Xenopus tropicalis: one gene and its partner. The protein of the gene in region 2 interacts with the protein of the main gene of each other region in a pairwise test. Links are inferred from orthologs where the notes say so. Each region holds a gene or a part of one and is shown on either strand. Other genes may lie near its edges.

Region 1 (4,313 bases), on a different chromosome or scaffold from region 2:
ACAGCCCTGCTGCCGGTCCTAGATCTGCAGTGTCTCGATCATAGGAAATCCAAGCAGGCTGTCACCTTGCACAAGCAGTAGTAGCGGCTGTATCTATCAATCCACCGTGCAGTCACAGGAGAGAGTCTCCTTTCTCCCTCTGTTAAAATTACCTGTGCAGTACTCTGGCAAGGTCCTACCGCTGCTGTGACAAACTTAACGTACATTATCATATATCCACTGTTTTGATCCAGAGGAGGGAAAAAACCCCAACCTGAAGCTGGTGCCAATTATGCCTCACGAGGGAAAAAATTCCTTCCTGACTCCCATGGCGATGTGAAACATTCCCTGGATCAAGTGATCGTAATTAATGAAATAATACAATGCTGACTCTCAAATTTATACTGTATAAAGATACAGAAACCACACTATAACAATGCATTCAGGAAAACATCCACATTCTGTTATTAAAAGATAATATTAGAACATAAAGAAGAAAACTCCTGCCAATTTTGCAAAATATGCTAAATATGCAAAATGAAGGTGGGTGGGAGGTTTCTACCTGCTCAGAAGAAAAGGAACTGAGTGCTACTTCCTCTGACATCACATCCCTCTCTTCTCCACCCCCCAGGCCAGCTTTCTCCTGTTTTAATTCTTTTCTTCTCACCTAATCACAGTTGTACCTGATTCTTCTAAACATAAACCAGTGTAATCTGGCCACTGGTTATTCAGATCCCTTGTCATGCAGCCCCTGCGCTTTTATCTACAGGACTTTCCTTTCTAATGATCTTCATAGGTAGAAAAATCTACACTGAACCCTGCCTCAAGAAAGAGGAAAAAAAAAGAAAGACTGGTAAGTTTAATGTAAACAATCTGGTGTAACCAACTCTTACCTGTTGATTGTTCTGGATTCCATGTATCTCACCTAACAAATACACTTTGGGGGAGATTTTTTTTTTAATTTTAGATTAAAGTTTGCAAACTTGTAAACTCAAAAAATTATAGGTATTCGAGTTTTTTATTCAAACAAGTTTTCCTAATTAATAAATAAGCGAGCATTTGATATGCAAGTTTGTATTTGATTTAGAAAAAAAAACGAATTTGAATTCACAAACTTAAAAATTGATAAATAAGCCCATTTATGTGAGTGTTTCAAGCAGGCAACAATCAATAAGCCTTTCAGGTTTTAATTTTTTACCAAACACATTGAAGTCTATTTTTGTGATCTATATACACACAGAGTGTATTCCTCAAGGCTAATAAATCAGATGAGGAGGAGAGGCGTGCCCAGCAGTTGATTTGGAGGATAAAGCACAATGCTCCTTTCCATGTAAGTACAGCTGCTGGTCACTGAATGGAACTTACTGAACTCTACAGTACCGACTGCTGCTGCTGCTGCTCTGTCTGCTACATCTGCTGCATCATCTTACTGCAAATGATAAACCTATAGTGCAGGGGGAGGACAGCTTGTAGAGGTAAGGATTTGTTCTCACATCCATCTGTGAATTTTGTTTAAACATATCTTATGCTACACAGCTATCATCAAAATGTCATACAATAACTGAAATCTCTTACACGTTGTCTGGGTGTTTCCTAAAGCTATTAAAAAGTAAGTCATAATTTCTTTCCCACAGTTGTATTTCTGCCATAAAACTATATACAAGTTTTGAGGCGTGTAATTGTCTGAGCATAACCTTAACTCCTTCATTTTAGTGGGTTGTGTGCCAGTTTTTTTTTATAAGGAGAGGTGTGGATGAATAAAAGTAGTTATATAATTGTGGTGATGTTTGGATGTCTGTATCACCAAAATTGTCTTTATGACATGATTAGTAAGGGACATTTTTTAAATAGTTTAGTGATTGAATATGCAAAAACGCTGTGGCTAGAATACTGATATAAGTCCCACAATCTTTTTTACATGGCTTAGAAACCTGCTTACTGTGACTTTAGCTTGTGCTCTGAGTATAAACCAAATCTAGATCACAGAACCCCCAGACAGATTTTGGATTGTAGACTGGGATTTGTTCTGGGACGTTATTAATAACTTATTGGTCAGTGTCAATACAGAAAAATAATGTAAAAACAAAGACACCATATACAAAAAGAAGTTATCTGTTGGACAAATGTAAGCCATTAGTTCTCAAACTCTTTGGAAACCACTGCAACAAGGGGCTGATTTATTAAAGTTCAAATTGCCTTTGAGTTTTATTTTTCAAAAAGGTGATGTAAATAAAAAATTATGACTTCCATTGTGATTAAGACATGGCAATAAGATGCAGCACAACGTTTCAGAATTAGATTTGCCATACGTAGGAGGATTGTAATCTCTAAATTAGAAGATATCCTATCTCTTCCTTTTCTCTCAGATATGACAATTTATATGTTAACCATGGGTGATGGGAAGAACAACTCTTAGCTCTCTAAAGGGGTTATGTAATAAAAGGCACTACATTTGCCCAGGTGCAGTAACCCTTAGCAACCAATCAGCAGGTAGAATTTTACTAAGCAAACATCTTATCAGTTGCTATGGGTTACTGCTACTTGGTAAAATTAGTGCTTTTCATTACATTGCAAAGCTACAGTATGACTCCTGGCATCTGTCCCATTGGCAGAGATGGTGAGGGGGCATTGGCAGCAGTAACACTGCACCACAAAAGTGGTCTGTTCGCTTTTTTATATGTTTTTGCCATTATCTATAGAAAATAGCAAATAGCAGGGCGCATCCTAGTGTTTTTGGATATAAATTAATTAATTGTGATACAGTGTTAAGCAAAGGGGTTTGTAATTTCGGATTTGTACATGCGGTAAAGATTAAGGTTGAAAACTGATGTTAATTAAAATGCAATTTAATGGTTCCCCATGAGTCATTTACTGACTTTATTACCCCAGCATGTTCATTTGGCCCCATGAAAACGGATACTCCGTTGTTGTGTCAAATTCTGTAGGATAAGACAACATGTTCCAAACTGTCACTGACACTAATCAGACCTCAAGCACTTCATAGAACGTTTAATGGAAGAGCTCTGTTACTGTGCATAGCATTTATATCAGAGTGTGGGGTTATCATACAGCAGCAGCATTCCGTACAATGTGCAATCGGAACACACACTTTGGCAGCACATGCCTTGAGCTCTCAGCCAGAACAATGTGCAATTGGAACACACACTTTGGCAGCACATGCCTTGAGCTCTCAGCCAGAACAATGTGCAAAGTTACAGTTAATGTGGTTTGTGTCATGTTATTCTGTTTATTTTTGGCTTGTAAAAAAAGTCTCTGCCTTCTGTAATGTTTTCCCAAATGGCAGTGTGACATTTTTGGGGGATAAATGTTGGATTAATATTCAGCGCTTTATCCTTTCCCATTACACCACACATTTATTATTTCTTTACACTTTTTTCTTTAATAGTAAATCAGTACACTCTCCAACTGGAAGAAATCTCCATTATCCATGTAACTATCATATTTCCTTCATATTATCAACATACAGTATATAGTTATCATATATTTATACAGATATGGGACCATTTTATTGACAAGTGGTCTTTCCATAACTTGGATCTCCATACCTTGTCTACTAAAAAATAACCCTGATAGGATCGTTTTGCATCCAGTAAAGATTAATCAATAATTAGTTAATCATTAATTAATAAATTATTAATTAGTTGGGATCAAGTACAAGGTGCTGTTTTATTATTACAGAGAAAAGTAAAATCATTTGAATTTTAATAAAATAGAGTCTATGGGAATTACCCTTCTCTAATTCTTTGTGTAATGGGTTTACGGATTATGGATCCTATACCTGTACTAATCTATTTATCAACTTGCAAATATGTGTATAAAATTTGGGTCAACCAACTCCCCATCAGTTAAAGATTATGGGATAAGATAATCAGCCTATGAGCAGGAACCTCTACCTCTTACATGGACCAGTATTTGTGAATAGTATGTATGTTTAATGTAAACACCCTTATATTGTACAGCACTACAGAATATGTTGGTTATGTTGCTTTATAATAAATATAATTATGGGGGGGGGGGTAATATAAAAACATGTGCACAGCTTTCCTCTAGTTTTAATAACCCATAAAATATGTTTGCTTTGGAACAGCAGACCAGTAAATGCTACTTGCTTATTGGTTGCTATTGTTATTTGACCTGGAAGAAACTATATTTGTTGTTACATTACCCCATATCTATATTGCTCATGCACCTAGTACATAAATATAACAAATACTATGACTCACAAATACTATATAGATTTGTGAGTCATGTAACACAAATAACATCACAAGCACCAATTCTAACTGGTGACATCACTAAGCACTGTTAAAGTA
Region 2 (4,476 bases):
CAGTGTGTGGGTAACAGTACCTATACACACAGTATACACAGTGCCCGTATACCAGTCAGTGTGTGGGTAACAGTACTAATACACAGTATATACAGTGCCCGTATACCAGTCAGTGTGTGGGTAACAGTACCTATACACCGTATATACAGTGCCCGTATACCAGTCAGTGTGTGGGTAACAGTACCTATACACACAGTATATACAGTGCCCGTATACCAGTCAGTGTGTGGGTAACAGTACCTATACACACAGTATATACAGTGCCCGTATACCAGTCAGTGTGTGGGTAACAGTACCTATACACAGTATATACAGTGCCCGTATACCAGTCAGTGTGTGGGTAACAGTACAGATACACACAGTATATACAGTGCCCGTATACCAGTCAGTGTGTGGGTAACAGTACCGATACACACAGTATATACAGTGCCCGTATACCAGTCAGTGTGTGGGTAACAGTACCGATACACACAGTATATACAGTGCCCGTATACCAGTCAGTGTGTGGGTAACAGTACCGATACACACAGTATATACAGTGCCCGTATACCAGTCAGTGTGTGGGTAACAGTACCTATACACAGTATATACAGTGCCCGTATACCAGTCAGTGTGTGGGTAACAGTACCTATACACAGTATATACAGTGCCCGTATACCAGTCAGCGTGTGGGTAACAGTACCTATACACACAGTATATACAGTGCCCGTATACCAGTCAGCGTGTGGGTAACAGTACCTATACACACAGTATATACAGTGCCCGTATACCAGTCAGCGTGTGGGTAACAGTACCTATACACACAGTATATACAGTGCCCGTATACCAGTCAGCGTGTGGGTAACAGTACCTATACACACAGTATATACAGTGCCCGTATACCAGTCAGCGTGTGGGTAACAGTACCTATACACACAGTATATACAGTGCCCGTATACCAGTCAGTGTGTGGGTAACAGTACCTATACACAGTATATACAGTGCCCGTATACCAGTCAGTGTGTGGGTAACAGTACCGATACACAGTATATACAGTGCCCGTATACCAGTCAGTGTGTGGGTAACAGTACCGATACACACAGTATATACAGTGCCCGTATACCAGTCAGTGTGTGGGTAAAAGTACCTATACACAGTATATACAGTGCCCGTATACCAGTCAGTGTGTGGGTAACAGTACCTATACACACAGTATATACAGTGCCCGTATACCAGTCAGTGTGTGGGTAACAGTACCTATACACAGTATATACAGTGCCCGTATACCAGTCAGTGTGTGGGTAACAGTACCGATACACACAGTATATACAGTGCCCGTATACCAGTCAGTGTGTGGGTAACAGTACCGATACACACAGTATATACAGTGCCCGTATACCAGTCAGTGTGTGGGTAACAGTACCGATACACACAGTATATACAGTGCCCGTATACCAGTCAGTGTGTGGGTAACAGTACCGATACACAGTATATACAGTGCCCGTATACCAGTCAGTGTGTGGGTAACAGTACCGATACACAGTATATACAGTGCCCGTATACCAGTCAGTGTGTGGGTAACAGTACCGATACACAGTATATACAGTGCCCGTATACCAGTCAGTGTGTGGGTAACAGTACCTATACACACAGTATATACAGTGCCCGTATACCAGTCAGTGTGTGGGTAACAGTACCTATACACAGTATATACAGTGCCCGTATACCAGTCAGTGTGTGGGTAACAGTACCGATACACAGTATATACAGTGCCCGTATACCAGTCAGTGTGTGGGTAACAGTACCGATACACACAGTATATACAGTGCCCGTATACCAGTCAGTGTGTGGGTAACAGTACCGATACACAGTATATACAGTGCCCGTATACCAGTCAGTGTGTGGGTAACAGTACCTATACACAGTATATACAGTGCCCGTATACCAGTCAGTGTGTGGGTAACAGTACCGATACACAGTATATACAGTGCCCGTATACCAGTCAGTGTGTGGGTAACAGTACCTATACACAGTATATACAGTGCCCGTATACCAGTCAGTGTGTGGGTAACAGTACCGATACACACAGTATATACAGTGCCCGTATACCAGTCAGTGTGTGGGTAACAGTACCGATACACAGTATATACAGTGCCCGTATACCAGTCAGTGTGTGGGTAACAGTACCGATACACACAGTATATACAGTGCCCGTATACCAGTCAGTGTGTGGGTAACAGTACCGATACACAGTATATACAGTGCCCGTATACCAGTCAGTGTGTGGGTAACAGTACCTATACACACAGTATATACAGTGCCCGTATACCAGTCAGTGTGTGGGTAACAGTACCTATACACAGTATATACAGTGCCCGTATACCAGTCAGTGTGTGGGTAACAGTACCGATACACAGTATATACAGTGCCCGTATACCAGTCAGTGTGTGGGTAACAGTACCTATACACAGTATATACAGTGCCCGTATACCAGTCAGTGTGTGGGTAACAGTACCGATACACACAGTATATACAGTGCCCGTATACCAGTCAGTGTGTGGGTAACAGTACCGATACACAGTATATACAGTGCCCGTATACCAGTCAGTGTGTGGGTAACAGTACCGATACACACAGTATATACAGTGCCCGTATACCAGTCAGTGTGTGGGTAACAGTACCGATACACAGTATATACAGTGCCCGTATACCAGTCAGTGTGTGGGTAACAGTACCTATACACACAGTATATACAGTGCCCGTATACCAGTCAGTGTGTGGGTAACAGTACCTATACACACAGTATATACAGTGCCCGTATACCAGTCAGTGTGTGGGTAACAGTACCTATACACACAGTATATACAGTGCCCGTATACCAGTCAGTGTGTGGGTAACATACACAGTATATAGAGGCTACTAGGCAGGCAGACAGTGAGCAGGGTGAATGGCAAGGCGACACATACACACAGAGACATACAGGGAAAGGCGCAGTATATAAGTTCCCCCTCACAGAGTCAAATACTCACCGGGTTCCCGCCCTCTCCCCCATGTTCCAAGCTCCTCCGCTTGCTCTGTGTGTACGCGCTCCAATCCCCCACCGCGGGGACGCGCACGGTTCCACACGCACAGTAGGAAAGGGCGTGGCCGTGCGCTTCTTCCCATTTCCTGCGCGTTTTCATTGGCTGGACGATTTCCGGCCTTGTGACGGTCAGGTAGGACGCGGTCACCAAGTACTGAACACGCCCCCTCTCTGACTTGTGGAAGGAGGGGCCGGCGGCGTGACGTATATGAGTTAGAGGTCGGGCCGTACAACTGATTGGACAACAGGAGGACGGTGGAGGGAGGGCGTGGCAGTGGCTTGTAATAGGGGTTGCTGATTGGCTGCCTTGTAACAGGGGTTGCTGATTGGCTGCCTTGTAACAGGGGTTGCTGATTGGCTGCCTTGTAACATGGGTTGCTGATTGGCTGCCTTCTAATAGGGGGCGCTGATTGGCTGCCTTGTAGGTGTGTAACGCGTAATAGAATTAGCGATCGTCCGAAGGATTAAAACGTATTACTGACAGACGGTAGCTGCTCCGTAACCGGCTCAGATACCTTCCAGATAGATTGCTATTCAAAGGGACGTTTAGAATGAAGTAACAGTAATATTCTGAGATATGTTTTGCGCTTTTTTATAAGAATGAAGCTTTTTTTGTTCAATGCTGTTTTGCATTTTAGCAGCAAGCTGGTTGCTAGGGGCCAATTTACCTATAAGCCAGCGGTTTGAGGGATGTACTGGAATATGGTGATAAAAAAAGTCTGACAATTGTGACCTCACAGAATGGCAGTGTTTTGGTTGCCAGGGTCAGTGACCCCGTCCCTTCCAACAACAAGATTGATTTTTATATTGCAATTTGGCAAAGGGGCAGAAAGAAAGGCAAGTGGTTCAAACAGGCCTGGATTTCAGATTGGGCTCCCAATATCCCCATTGCCCCGTCTCCTGTTACTCCAGGGGCCCCAACTGCCCACTCACCGCCAGCGCCTCCCCCCACTTACCTCATACTTCCCCCGCAATTGGGGGAGGGCAGTGGGGGGCTGGTAGGGGCCCATGAGGGCCAGGGACCACTGAGTTTTTTTTCTGGCCCAGTCCAACCCTAGATCGATATATAGATAGATAGATAGATAGATAGATAGATAGATAGATAGATAGATAGACAGCTAAATAGATAGATACATACATAGCTAGATAGATAGATAGATAGATAGATAGATAGATAGATAGATAGATAGATAGATAGATAGATAGATAGACAGCTAAATAGATAGATACATAGATAGATAGATAGATAGATAGATAGACAGCTAGATAGATACATACATAGATAGATACATACATAGATAGATAGATACATAGATAGACAGATAGATAGATACATACATAGCTAGATAGATAGATACATAGCTAGATAGATAAATACATAGATAGATACATACATAGATAGATAGATACATAGC

What was found.
Region 1: the proteins of arrb2 (region 2) and agtr1 interact in a two-hybrid assay, tested with the Homo sapiens proteins (2 studies listed by BioGRID and IntAct, with this or other methods). The link is inferred for Xenopus tropicalis from reciprocal best matches to the Homo sapiens genes ARRB2 and AGTR1.

Annotation. Positions count from the first base shown.
Region 1 is NC_030681.2:122,004,006-122,008,318, forward strand, and holds the start of agtr1 (type-1 angiotensin II receptor), read left to right. Parts: upstream 1-1,419; 5' UTR 1,420-1,454; intron 1,455-4,313. UniProt on the Homo sapiens protein: Receptor for angiotensin II, a vasoconstricting peptide, which acts as a key regulator of blood pressure and sodium retention by the kidney.
Region 2 is NC_030679.2:142,421,186-142,425,661, forward strand, and holds the start of arrb2 (beta-arrestin-2), read right to left. Parts: upstream 3,077-4,476; 5' UTR 3,032-3,076; coding exon 3,009-3,031; intron 1-3,008. UniProt on the Homo sapiens protein: Functions in regulating agonist-mediated G-protein coupled receptor (GPCR) signaling by mediating both receptor desensitization and resensitization processes.